Tribolium castaneum: one gene and its partners. The protein of the gene in region 1 purifies or fractionates together with the protein of each later gene. This does not show direct contact. Links are inferred from orthologs where the notes say so. Each region holds a gene or a part of one and is shown in the gene's direction. Other genes may lie near its edges.

Region 1 (3,700 bases):
TCTTCTTCCTCCGTTGATAATTCGTTAATTTTGGCCGATTCTTGATCTTCTTCAGTTGATGGTTCGCTAATTTTGACCGATTCTTCGTGAGTTAGTTCGTTAATTTCTTCCACCTGACTTGGTAATTCGCCAATTTTTGCATAATCATGTTCAATGAGAACAAAATCAGTGACTAGATCTTTATTTTCCTTCTCTTCTGTGGTTTTCTTTTCGGACAAGTCGGCAAAAATTTTGTAGGCCTTCTGGACATCGGCTTCTTGTGCCATTTGTTTGTTTATAAGGTTGGTAATCGAACTGGAAGCCAAGATTCGTGTCTCGATCACACTTTTCCTGTGCTCTTCACTCATTTTATCCAACTCTAACATATCGTCAACGAAATTTTTCAAATCGATATTTTCATCATCCGAATTCGTATGAACCGAGACGATTTCGCAACGTTGTTGTTTCTCCACCGAATCACAGTGGGGACATGCATTTTTTTGTGGTGAATCTTTCTTGAGAAATTTTTTCCGCCGTTTCCGACTTTTACGCAAAATGAGCCGATCCAAAGAAATGAACCTGAGCCGACCTTTGCTACGTAGTGAATTAATTCGTTTGAAATTAAACTGATGCGATTTGAGCCCCCAATTAAATTTTCGGCGCTTTGTCACTTTACTCCTCAACTTGACACTTTCGACAATCTTACGAACCGAGTCCTCAAAATCAACAAATTCGCTAAATTTTGACTTTGGGGGCAATGGTAAATATTTATTGGGCGTTTCTTTTTTCTTCTTCGACTCAAAAATGTTCAAATCTTCGAATGATTTGAGGGTGGGGAAGGTGTTTATGTCGTTTTCTGAACACGTTTTTTGGTGGTTTTGGACTAAATTCTTGACTCGCTTCGATCGTCTGTTTCCGAATAACAGTTTCTTCTGTTTCTTTTCGCCAGGTTTCATTAGCTGTAAGTAACTGCAAAGTTCCTTTTTCTGGCTTTCTGGGCTTAGGGGAGTTTCAAAGTTTAAATTTCCATTGACTTTTGCTGTACATTCCTGGCTTTTTTTCTCGTCACTCAGAGCCGCTTTTTTGGCCTGTTCCATATAAGAAAACAAGGGAGTGACTCGCGTAAAACATGATTTCGGCACATTTATTGTGATTTTCTCGCTTTTATCGAAATCATAGCGGATACAAACGCTTTTATTCTCATTAGGGGGCCCCAGATCATCGTACTTGGTCGTATCTATCCATTCTTTGACTTTTTCGTAATGATTGGGGGTGTTATCAGAGTCCAAGACCTTGGACGTCCTTTTGGCACCTTTGTGGCCGTCCCAACTCACGGGAACTCGGTGTATTTCCGAACTTAGGGTTAGAACAGTCACAGGAGAATCGGTGTTTTTGGGGGAAGCGTTCAACGATGCACTCGAGAGGGAAATAACACTTGCCATTACGAAAGTTTAACGTGGTAACGATCACTTAATTTAATTGTTTAGCACACATTTGTACACCTGACTTTGGGGGGACGCTACAACCCCCCCAAAAACGTCAAACAATCAAAAAATACCAAGGGGGCTTGTTTGACGCTTTGGTGATTTTTCTGCGACAGCAGCGCCGCCAAACAAACACGTTTCTCGCCAAAACGGCCTTTTTACACATAGAAAAAATACGAAACACAATCAAGCGACTCAAAAACGTGAATTAGGGCGTATTTGTGATAATCACGATAAGTTTTTATTTTATAAGATGGTTTTTGTGACGCCTTGGTAACGTCAAAATCCCTACAAACCGTGAAAGATTGCAAATGGCCGCCGATTTATTGACGTATTGAACTTGTCAATAATTTTATTAAATAACGGCGAGTTTTTTGGTAAGTTTGTACGTTTTTTGCAACCTGAACGATGGACGAGTTGCAAAACTACCGCCTGCAATTACAACAAGTCGAAGCCGCGCTTCTGAGCGACCCCGACAACAAAGAGCTGCAAAAGCTCAAAGTGGACTTGGAGGAAGTAATTGAATTGTCCCTTGATTTGAAGAATAAGGCAGATGAGGCGGCAAATCAGCCCGAGTACACCGAACCGATTGGGGTGCCTGAAGAAGACGAGATAACCAAGTCGCTCCTGGCCGTTGAGCAGTTCGTTGCTCGTAACAAATCAAAGAAAATCTGGCGGATTGGCGACACCTGTCTCGCGAAATGGAACGATAACGGCCAATATTACGAAGCCCGTATCGATGCTATCCATCCGGACGGACAGGTAAATGTGACATTTGAAGCTTATAAAAATCGGGGGGTTTCTACCTTAGCGGAAATTAAAGAATTCACAGGAGCGAAACGAGTTCTGACTGAAGCTGAACGCTTGAAACGCATCAAAATGATGAATAACCGCGAATATCTCAAAAAGAAGAAGCTGAAGAAACAGCAGAGATTCAAAGAATTGGAGGAAGAGAGAGAAGTTGAGAAAAACAAGTGGCTGGCTTTTACGAATAAAGCCGTGAAAAACAAAAAAAGCGGACTCACTAATAAGAGTATTTTCGCGTCGCCTGATTCGGTGAACGGACGCGTGGGGATTGGCACTTGTGGGATAAGTGGCAAGCCGATGACTGAGTTTACCACAGCGGAAAAGTGGAGGAAAGGGGTTTAATTTTCTTTATGTTACTATTTTTTTAATTAAATAAATAAGATTGTATCAATTAATTATTGTAAATAAATGTTTCACAAAACGAGTTGTTCTTAATTAACAGGCGCAACTGTTGTCAATCGTAACCAAGCCATTTTTCCCCAAACTAACTTCCTGTAGTTCACTGCTATTATCACTCTTTGGTTCCTCACAAACCACCAAACTTTCAGTAATTCGCTTAAATAGCTGTTTAATGTTCAAACCAACTTTGGCGCTCGTCTCTACGAACGTGACGTTCAATTCTTTCGCTTTTTGTTCGCCCTCTTCTATACTGACTTGTCTCAAGTCCTTCAAGTCGACTTTGTTGCCGACCAGAAACACAATAACGGAGTCTCCGCGTTCCATTCGCACGTCATTAATCCATTTTGTGGTTTGGTGGAAGGTTTCAATGTTGGTCACATCAAAGACCACCACAGCCACTGAAGAGTCTCTTATGTAGGCAGGGATTAAAGAGCGGAAGCGCTCCTGACCGGCTGTGTCCCACAGTTGTAAACGCACGGTTTTGTCGGTTAAATACATTGTTTTTGATAGAAAATCGATACCGACTGTTGCCTGATAAGCGGTGTCGAAGCTGTCGTACATGAATTTCGTTATAATCGAAGTTTTTCCAACGCTTTGTTCGCCCAGAAAAACCAGTTTGTATTTTTGTAAACTGGGGTTGTAGTCTTGCGAGATTGAAAACTTTGTCATTTTGACAAAAAGTACAAAAACTTAATCGGTAGCCTACTTTGATATTAATTAAAAAAATATATTCACAAAAAATAAATAACCCACAAATGCAGTCTTTGCATTTAAATTTAAAGTTTTGATTTCTTTTTGTTTAAAATTTTAACAGTTAAAACACTTACCTACATAAAAATGAAAAAAAAATTAACTCACTGGCAATATTTTTTGATTTTTCCAATTTTTGCGAATGCGGTAAATTGATAAGAACGAGCTATCTTATGAAAGTTATGAGAATAAGACAAATTTTAAGTAAATAAATATATTTATAACATCTTAGCCCACATATACAGTTGATTATTTGGTCAAAACATTTTAACGATTTGAAA
Region 2 (5,068 bases), on another chromosome or scaffold:
TGGGCTTGCGATTAAAAAGCAGTATTTGAGCAATACGGGGACTGCTAATTATGATTTGATTATTAACGAGGATGCTGATGAGAATTCGGTTGTGACTTTTATTAAGTCGTTGACGAAGAAGCAGAAGAAGGCGTTGTTGAAGAAGTTGGAGAAGATTGAAAAGGGGGGGAGAGATAAGAAGAACAAGAAACGAAGGGATTCAGATGAGGCTTCCTCAGATGAAGACAGGAAGAAAGCAGGGAAGAGGAAGTTCAGGAGGAGGAATCAGAGTACGAGCTCTGAGGAGGAATCGGAAGATGATAAGAAGAAACACAAGAAGAAGGAAAAGTCGTCAGAGTTTAAACTAATGTCCAAAGAGGAGAAAAAGGCATTGATTAAGTAAGTTTCGACTTTAAAACTGAGGACAATGTACTCTACTTTTTAGTCGAATATCAATTTTTTGTACGAAAATTTTCATTTGCAGTAGTTCATTTAAAAAATCACAACTCTTGAAACTTTTACAATAAATAAATAATTATATTAGTATTCGATAACCAAAGGTTCAAAGGGTCTTTTCAAATTTTCAGGATTGTCAAATGTCAAATTGCAAGACTACTATGATTTTTTGAAATTGATCAAAAAGTAATTATAACAGTTTTTTCAAATTTTTGAATGGTAATCAAAAGGATATCGATTTTTATGGAGACTTTTATCAATATCTCCTATATCTATCTCTTATACTTTTTAAAATAATCTCAAAAAAAAAAGACCAAAAGCTCATTGTTTTCAATTTTAATCGAGTAAACTTTCGAAAAATACGATAAAGTTGTGCTATTAAATAAAAGTACTGCTTATTTGATAATAAATCAACTAAAAACTAAATAAAAGTTGGACAGTTGTTGACCATTTTGCAAGGTCTACTTGATTAACTATGAAAATTACGAAGTAAAATCCGTGTTTTTTTTTGTAATTATTTCTAAAAATGTAGGAAATGGGTATAGGACGTGTTCATAAAAGTCACCATAAATATTGATGTTCGATTGCTGTTAAGAAAAAAGGATCGTTCCATTTGAAAGACTGAGTTATAGCCATATTTTGCCAAAATCATACTAGCCTTGAATTTTGACAAATGACAATTTTACAAAAATTCAAAAATCCCTAAATCGATTAAAATAATATTTTTTATTTAAAAACGACAAAAAGGGGGCAATTACAAAAAATAGTACAAAGATCTTTTAATTTACTATTAATTAATTGATTACAGGAAACTGGAAATTGTGGAGAAAGCAATCAGTAAAAGGAACGAAAAGAATGGGCGAAGAAGTTCCGATGAGGACAGGTCAAGGAGGGACAAAAAGCACTCACGGCATAACAATGATGACTACAGACGGGACAGGAAGCGAAAATCTGATGATTCCTATTATGAAAATAGCAAAAGAAGACGCTCTTAAGTTTTTGTTGTACATTTCTTAGAATTGTTGTGATTATAGGGATTATCATGATACTTGTAATAATTTAGAAAACGTAATATATTTTTAAACGTATTCCACCGAATTTTATTTATAAATCCCGCCAACTTTAGCGACAGGCTGGCTATTGGTCCATTTTCGCGCAGGCGCTTAATGAGTCGCCATTTTGTAACGCAAGCTTGTCATTGATTTTCCTTGAAAGTGTTTTGAAACGAAATAAGCCAAAGCAACAAGCATTGGTGCTAGAAAATGGAACAGATACCAAGGACTCATGAAGGTACGCTGTTTTTTGCACCCAAAAGCCCGTTTCATGACTTTTTTGCGTCTCTAGACATCGAGGCCCAAATTCGTGAAATCCAGTCTAAAAAGAAGGAAATTCCGGTGGAAGAGGAGCGAAACGAGAAGGGTGTAGGTTTAGGCGAGAGTGGCTATTTTGATAGTGAGATCTACGATGGGGGCGGCGGTAAGGGTAAATACGAGGGTTATGTGACCTCGATCGCCGCCAACGATGAAGCCGATGAAGAGGACGACGATGTGGGTTATAGTCAGAAACGGACCGGACTGGGGGCCCCTGTGGCGCTCCTCAATGATGTCGCTCAGGTGAGATTTGTGTTATTTAAGTTTTGTGGTAGTTAACTGAGTTGTTTAGAGCGACAAGGATTTTGATCCGTTTGCTGACAAGAGGAGGCCCACGATTGCCGATCGAGAGGACGAGTACAGGCAAAAGAGGCGTCGGATGATTATTTCACCCGAACGTGTTGATCCGTTCGCTGACGGTGAGTAGTTGATTTCGTCCAAGTATTTATAGCTCGTTTTTCCACTTGTTTATGTTTTATATGAAATTTGAGATAATGCTGTTGCTGTCGCTTATCTCAAGTTTTGTATGTTATTGGGGTATATGAAAGATAGCGAATGGATGCATGAGTGAGCAAAAATACTCGAGAAAGTAGGCATTAAATAAAAATCAGTACAAAGAAACTAATTTGTTCTGTATTGGATTCCAACATTTAGGGGTGTCTTCCTAGAGAAGTAATCGCCGCGATTTTAATGGATCACTTCCGTAAAATGTAACGTTGGTAAACGAAAATCGAACAAGAGTGAAAGAGTGTATGCAATGTATAGAAAATTATTAATTACCCCAGCCTATTTCTAGGTTCGATTTGACCAGTTGTTTTGCGAGAAACTGCCTGATTTGTGATGGAGCACAATCACACGTACGTATCAAGATTTGTTCGCCAAATTCACTCCCTTTCAATCCCCAATATTCGAAAAATAATCAGTTTGAGTGAATTGTGGTGCAACCAAATCTTTCAATCATTCAATAAAGAACAGATACTAAATAGAAAAGTCTGACCATTTTTTGCCAACAAGTGCTTCCGTTTACTAATTGGCGTTTTTCAACGCTGTTATGTTTACAGGTGGCAAAACACCAGACATCAATGCCCGCGGTTACACCCAGATTATGAAAGAGCAGATGCTCAAAGGAGAAGAAAACGAGGTCAGTATCAAAAATTTATCACCTAGCCAATTTTTTTTCGTAATTATGTCCGGCAATGGAGTCCTTTGTTAACTCAAAGTTGATTTCTTTGACCACTTGTAATTTAATTTCAGTTGAGGAAAAAAATTCTGGAAAAATCCAAAGACGGTTCACTCAAATCAACAAACGGTGAGGTAAAGAGCGCACCTAAGAAACGGGGGCGCTGGGACCAAACCGTAGACGAAGTCGTCGTCCCCAGCAAAAAGAAAACTCTCTCCGTAACGACCAACAGTGCAGCTGCTACCCCCATCTGGGATGCTGACGTAACAATCCCAATTTTTTAAAACCAATTATTAATAAAAAAATTACAGAAAACTCCAGCCGACCACCGCTGGGACGAAACCCCCGGCCACAAAGGCAGTGAAACGCCGGGCGCCACCCCCGGCCAATCCACCCGTATCTGGGACGCGACCCCCGGGGCTGCAACTCCAGGTCGCGAAACGCCCGCTCATGACAAGAGTGCCAGTCGTCGAAACCGCTGGGATGAAACACCCAAAACCGAGCGTGAAACTCCGGGACATTCGAGCGGCTGGGCTGAAACCCCGCGCACCGACCGAACCGGAGCCGACTTGATTCACGAAACACCGACTCCGGGAGCGTCCAAACGCCGCTCCCGTTGGGATGAAACTCCCTCTGTTCAGACACCGTCGGCGCACATGACTCCGGGTGCTATGACGCCGCAAACGCCGCACGGAACGCCAAGCCATGCCACTCCGATGCTGACTCCGGGCGGGTCAACTCCGGTCGGAGTCAAGGCGATGGCCATGGCGACGCCCACTCCGGGACACTTGGCGTCCATGACTCCGGAACAACTCCAGGCCTATCGATGGGAGCGGGAGATTGACGAGAGGAATAGGCCGTATTCGGATGAGGAATTGGATGCGATGTTTCCGCCGGGGTACAAGATTTTGGCACCTCCGGCTGGGTATATACCCATCAGGACGCCAGCAAGGAAATTGACAGCCACGCCCACACCCATGGTTAATACTCCCCAGGGATTTTTCATCCAACAGGAAGATAAGACAGCCAAATATCTGGATAATCAACCAAAAGGGCAGAATTTGCCGTTCATGAAACCAGAAGATGCGCAATATTTTGATAAATTATTGGTCGATGTTGATGAAGAAGCTTTGAGTCCTGAGGAACAGAAAGAACGGAAAATAATGAAACTACTCCTAAAGATCAAAAACGGGACCCCTCCCATGCGAAAAGCCGCCTTGAGGCAAATCACAGACAAGGCTCGAGAATTCGGTGCAGGGCCCCTTTTTAACCAAATTTTGCCCCTTTTAATGAGTCCAACTCTGGAGGACCAAGAACGTCACTTGTTAGTCAAAGTCATAGACCGAATTTTGTACAAATTGGACGATTTAGTCCGTCCCTACGTCCACAAAATATTGGTGGTGATCGAACCGTTGCTCATCGACGAAGATTACTACGCGCGTGTGGAAGGCCGTGAGATTATCTCAAATTTGGCCAAAGCCGCCGGATTGGCAACCATGATTTCGACCATGCGGCCCGATATTGACAATATAGACGAATACGTCCGAAATACAACCGCTCGTGCGTTTGCCGTCGTCGCTTCAGCTCTGGGAATCCCCTCGTTGTTGCCGTTTTTGAAAGCCGTCTGTCGGTCGAAAAAATCGTGGCAGGCCCGGCATACTGGTATTAAAATCGTCCAACAAATCGCAATATTGATGGGGTGCGCTATTTTACCGCATTTGAAATCATTGGTTGAGATTATCGAGCACGGTTTGGTCGACGAACAGCAAAAAGTTCGAACGATTACGGCGTTAGGTATCGCGGCGTTAGCCGAGGCTGCGACACCGTACGGTATTGAGAGTTTCGATTCGGTGCTTAAACCACTGTGGAAGGGCATTAGGACCCATCGCGGGAAGGGTTTAGCTGCGTTTTTGAAAGCTATTGGTTATTTGATTCCGCTGATGGACGCCGAGTATGCCAATTATTACACAAGAGAAGTAATGTTGATTTTGATTCGGGAGTTTCAATCGCCTGACGAAGAAATGAAGAAGATTGTGCTCAAAGTGGTCAAGCAGTGTTGTTCGACTGACGGTGTCGAGCCTCA
Region 3 (4,872 bases), on another chromosome or scaffold:
TTCCTCGTTTGCAGATTCTGCAAATCTTCAACAACCTGGTCCTTCTCTTGTTTCATCGCAAGTTTGCTCTTCTTCTCTGCTTCAAAATCGTTCTTATACACTTCGATTTGTTCCTTCAATGCGAACATTTCGTCGTTGGCACTTGTATTTTCTTGAAGTAGTTTACGCAAATCTTCGATTTCTTTAATCTTCTGTTCCCTTTCCTGTTCCAATGCTGTGATTGTCCTTTGGGCAACGCTCAACTGGGCCCGGGATTGGGCATAATCTTCGGCCAAACGCGGGTTGTACTTGTCTTGGAGCTCCTTAAGTTGCGATTTTAGGGTTTTTATCTCATCACTGAGGGTGGATTCGACGAAAGCGGTGCGTTGTTGTTCTTCCTTCAGTTTCAAGATTTCCGTTTCTTTCAGTTTGAGGAGCTGGTCGTAGGTTTGGGCTGCCGTCGATGATTGGACGAGTTTTGCGTTTTCTTTTGTTAAATTATCCAATTTTGATTGGAGGTCGGTGGTTGTTGTCTTCATTGACTGGATTTCGTCAATTAGGTCGCTTTCGCGATTTTTTGCGGCGAGAATATCCAGTTTAAAGTCGTCAATTTGTTGCTGCTTGGTTTGTAATTCCTGTTCAAGGTTCGGTACATTCACCAATTTTTGCGTCAGTCTTTCAATTTCTTCCTGTTTCAGTTCTAAATCCTTCATCATTGCTAATTTCCTTGTGTCAACAACTGAAAAGTTGGGGCCGTTGGTCAAATTTTCCAATTCCTTAAGCTTCAGTTTCAAATTCAAGATTTCTTCTTCATGGAGCTTTTTAAGATTGATGTAAACTTCAACGTCACTAACCAACTTTGCATTTTCTTCTTTATACTTATCTATGCACATTTTGGCATCGTTGAACTTATCTTTGTAGGACTTCATCACATTGGTGACCTCATCCCTGTAGGCCAAAAACCTCGTATACTGCGCCTTCATACTCATGTTATTTTGTGCGATGATATTCTTCAACTTTTCGTTTTCCTTAATCAGTTCTTCCACTTGTTTTTGAATCTCTTCATACGACGAATCCGGCGATATTGCAATACTTGCAACTGAGGGCACAATCGCATCAACAGCTGCTGGTAATTCTGGCAACGGATCAACGGTAATTTGTGATATTTTCATCCTGATTAGATTTTCCATTTCGTGAACCTTATTTGTCCTTATTGGGGGCAAGATTTCGTCCCTTGGAGGGCTGCAAGACAAACTTTCGCTGATGGAATTTGAAGTTTCCAAAACGACAAATGAATCTTCATCATCGGACCCGATTGACGGAACCATGGACTCTGCAGTGTTTTTCACAGCAACGAAGGACTCGTCACGACTCATTTTTGATGACTTTCAAGTTTTAACAACAGCTGCAGTACAACACTACATTTGCGGCGCAAAATAGAATGAATTAGAACATAGAATATGAAAATACCAAACTACTGACACACGATTAAAGACACTGCTACCAACCGGACCAATAAAAAGTCGCCTTAGCCTTAATTTAATTTTTTAAGAATATTAAAGCTCTAAAAATGTTATTGTGGCATAACTATTTACGTAAAATTTCATTTGGGACACAACTGTAGTCGTAAAAAAATTGTAAAGTCAAAGAAAAACCGCTTAGTGATTTTCTAGTGTGACAATAATGGTGCACCTCTCTCTTATTCTACGCTGACATTTTGTCATTTTTTGACAGTCGACATTTGATGGCGTCGGGTAAATAAATAATTTTCGCAATTTTCTAAAAAAAGTCGCAATGGAGACGATTTTGGAGCAACAACGGCGTTATCACGAGGAAAAAGAGCGTCTCATTGACGCAATGGTTAAAGAAATTTTACATAAAAAAACAACGGTAAGTTGTGATTCTCGTGGCGCTTTGCCCCCTGACAGAGTCTTTGTTTTAGTACCGCGAGGCAATAAACTCGGACTATCGCCTTAAATTTCTGCTAGACAAATATATGACCTCCACTGATCGTTTGATTGAGCTGTATGAGGACAAGGACGGGCAAAGAAAAGCGGAAGTCGCTGCCCTTACAGGTCCAAATGAGTTTCAGGAGTTTTACAATCGTCTCAAGCAGATTAAAGATTTTTACAGGAAGCATCCTAATGAGGTATAGTTTTTGAATATTTTGTGTGTTTGTGTAATGATTTTTTTCTCAGATAAGTATTCCAATGTCTGTTGAGTTCGATGAACTAGCCAAAGCGCGTGAAAATCCCACTGAAGAAATGGCAAGTGAGTCTTGCTAGGCTCGTGTGATCACAGTTGTTTAATTACGTTTGTTTTTTCAAGATTTGGTTGAATTTACGGATGAGGAAGGTTATGGGAAATATTTGGATTTGCACGAATGTTACGAGAAATATATCAATTTGAAAGGCATTGAAAAGGTTGATTATATCACATATTTGGGCACTTTTGACCAGCTCTATGACATTCCTAAAGAACGCAAAACTGGAGAATATCGCAAATATTTGCTTTGCTTGATTGAGTATTTAACTTGGTTCGTGCAAAGAGTCAAACCTTTGATGGACATTGATGCTGATTTGCAAAACGAAGTTGATAATGTTATGGTCCAGTGGGAGAATGGGACTGTTCCAGGATGGCCCGTAATTTGGTAAAAAACTAATTTATTTTTACTACTTCATTTACTTTCAGAAAGAGACAGGGTCGGCCTTGGCGAACGTTGGGGCCCATTTAGACTTGTCCGCATTTTCAAGTTGGGAGGAATTGGCTTCTTTAGGTTTGGACAGATTGAAGTCGGCCCTAATGGCTCTTGGTTTAAAATGTGGCGGGTAATTATTTACGTCTTGCCATAAATAAAATTCTAATTATTTATTTAGGACGTTGGAAGAGCGTGCCCAGCGTTTATTTTCAACCAAGGGCAAAGGCTCACTAGATCCGTCTCTAATGACTAAAAACAAATCTGGCAAAGCCAGTAAGGAAAAGGAGCAAATGAGACAAAGAGAACTGGCCTGTCTTGAGGCACAAGTTTATAGGTTGGCCGAGCTGGTCGCCCCTCAACGCGCGGCAACTAAGGAAAATGTCCAGAGAAAACAAGCGCGGACGGATGGTGAAAGAGACGATAGTGAAAATGAGGAGAGTGAGGAGGAAAGTCCCGATGAAGCCGACGATGACGTTCCCTACAACCCCAAAAACTTACCTTTGGGCTGGGATGGAAAAGTATGTGATTTTGAAAGTAAGTTGGTAAAATTGATTGTTTCGTAATTGCAGCCGATTCCATACTGGTTGTACAAACTCCACGGTTTGAATATCAGTTACAACTGCGAAATTTGCGGCAATTACGTCTATAAAGGACCAAAGGCGTTTCAAAGACACTTTGCGGAGTGGAGACACGCTCATGGAATGCGCTGTCTGGGAATCCCCAATACCGCGCATTTTGCCAACGTGACGCAAATTGAGGATGCCCTAGCACGTAAGAAGTTGCAATTTTGGTTTCTTACCTTGTTACGGTTGTTTTCCAGTGTGGGAGAAGCTCAAAGTGCAAAAACAGGCAGAGCGTTGGCAACCTGAAACAGAGGAAGAGTACGAGGATTCGCAAGGGAACGTCGTTAACAGAAAGACTTACGAGGATCTTAAAAGACAAGGTTTATTGTAATTTGTGCTGTATTAACAATAAGTATCAATAAAAAACATAAACAAAACTTTAAATATTGACATTTTATTTTGATGGTCGCCTTGGGAAGGGGAATTTTCGACTGTTCGTTAGCACGAACGTACAAAACTGAGCCCGAAATAGGGATAGAGAGAGTGAAAATTATTCCTGTTACTTAAGAAATTATTCAGTAGTTTCTGCGTAAATAAATAATAATTTAAGTACTCATTTAGCGTGTTTTTAGAGTTCGGTTGAATGCACAGTCGGCTGCAATTTTTCTCACTTACCGAACGATGCGCATTTGTTTGTGCCTGTGATTTGACCAGATTTGACTTTGACACATAAGTGGGTAAATTCATCCAAATAGGTTTGTGATTTTATTCAACCTTTAATCACTAATTCTTTAATCATCAGAGTCTAATTTCTATAATGTGCGAGCTAAAATGGACGTATTAAATGCGGTATACAACTTAAACAATGAAGAAACCCTCAAGTCCAGTTGGTTCGGTGAGGTCTTCTCGAGTTTTTCGACTCAAGAGACGTACCAGGTAAGAAAACTGCGATTTGAATCAGTTTTTGCGTAATCACGGGGTTCCAGTGGGGCTTCCAGCTACTGCCCGTGTTACTGGCAGCGATTTTCGCAACGATAATTTCAGTAACGTATTTTTGCATACGAAAATGCCACCGAAAAGGTACAAATTAGTGTTTAGTTGTCTCGGTTGTAATAATTTGATTTAGCTCTTTTTGCGCGACAATTGAAATCCGAAGAGGCAAGTGCAAGGTTCAGGAAGAGGGATAAAGCGTTGTTTTACGGGCGCAAAATGTTACGCAAGGTGAAAAATATTTCGGGCCAAGTGCGGAACTCCGGTCAGGGCAGGAAAAGGAAAATGGTGATGAAATTCGCGAGACGGATTTTACAACTAAAGAAGGAAAATGATACGGAACAATTGAAGGTATTTAATATGTAACCAGATCTCGGCGTTACACAAGTGCGTGAAAGCAAGGACACGAGATAATTTCTAGGAATTTATAAACAATTGTTTAGGTTCTGGAACCGCCTGTTGAATATTTACAAGAGGAAATGTTGAGCGATGATCGGATGCCGCCGGATGCGCTGTACATGCTCCAGAGCATTAGGGTGTTTGGCCACTTTGAGAAACCGATTTTCTTGAAGTTGTGCAAGCACACGGAAGTTATTAACGTAGACGCCGGGCAACATTTATTCAAGATAGGTAAAGGCGTAA

Evidence for each region. Proteins that work in one complex are often made in the same cells at the same time.
Region 2: the proteins of Spf30 (region 1) and Sf3b1 purify together in Homo sapiens (co-immunoprecipitation; 5 studies listed by BioGRID and IntAct, with this or other methods). This does not show direct contact. The link is inferred for Tribolium castaneum from reciprocal best matches to the Homo sapiens genes SMNDC1 and SF3B1.
Region 3: the proteins of Spf30 (region 1) and noi purify together in Homo sapiens (affinity purification with mass spectrometry; 3 studies listed by BioGRID and IntAct, with this or other methods). This does not show direct contact. The link is inferred for Tribolium castaneum from reciprocal best matches to the Homo sapiens genes SMNDC1 and SF3A3.

The regions. Positions count from the first base shown.
Region 1 is NC_087399.1:319,467-323,166, forward strand, and holds Spf30 (survival of motor neuron-related-splicing factor 30), read left to right. Parts: upstream 1-1,727; 5' UTR 1,728-1,871; coding exon 1,872-2,612; 3' UTR 2,613-2,691; downstream 2,692-3,700. Other genes in the region: uncharacterized protein LOC103314146, read right to left, coding at 1-1,421; ras-related protein Rab6, read right to left, coding at 2,706-3,338. UniProt on the Homo sapiens protein: Involved in spliceosome assembly.
Region 2 is NC_087395.1:16,039,800-16,044,867, forward strand, and holds the start of Sf3b1 (splicing factor 3B subunit 1), read left to right. Parts: upstream 1-1,580; 5' UTR 1,581-1,697; coding exon 1,698-1,725; intron 1,726-1,779; coding exon 1,780-2,048; intron 2,049-2,097; coding exon 2,098-2,224; intron 2,225-2,229; exon of another isoform or gene 2,230-2,662; intron 2,663-2,866; coding exon 2,867-2,946; intron 2,947-3,059; coding exon 3,060-3,248; intron 3,249-3,296; coding exon 3,297-5,068. Other genes in the region: corepressor interacting with RBPJ 1, read left to right, coding at 1-378, 1,244-1,430. UniProt on the Homo sapiens protein: Component of the 17S U2 SnRNP complex of the spliceosome, a large ribonucleoprotein complex that removes introns from transcribed pre-mRNAs.
Region 3 is NC_087397.1:5,205,532-5,210,403, reverse strand, and holds noi (splicing factor 3A subunit 3), read left to right. Parts: upstream 1-1,630; 5' UTR 1,631-1,773; coding exon 1,774-1,869; intron 1,870-1,921; coding exon 1,922-2,128; intron 2,129-2,177; coding exon 2,178-2,250; intron 2,251-2,307; coding exon 2,308-2,621; intron 2,622-2,670; coding exon 2,671-2,807; intron 2,808-2,855; coding exon 2,856-3,195; intron 3,196-3,246; coding exon 3,247-3,448; intron 3,449-3,497; coding exon 3,498-3,631; 3' UTR 3,632-3,684; downstream 3,685-4,872. Other genes in the region: NF-kappa-B essential modulator, read right to left, coding at 1-1,355; neuropathy target esterase sws, read left to right, coding at 4,072-4,176, 4,227-4,320, 4,367-4,581, 4,674-4,860. UniProt on the Homo sapiens protein: Component of the 17S U2 SnRNP complex of the spliceosome, a large ribonucleoprotein complex that removes introns from transcribed pre-mRNAs.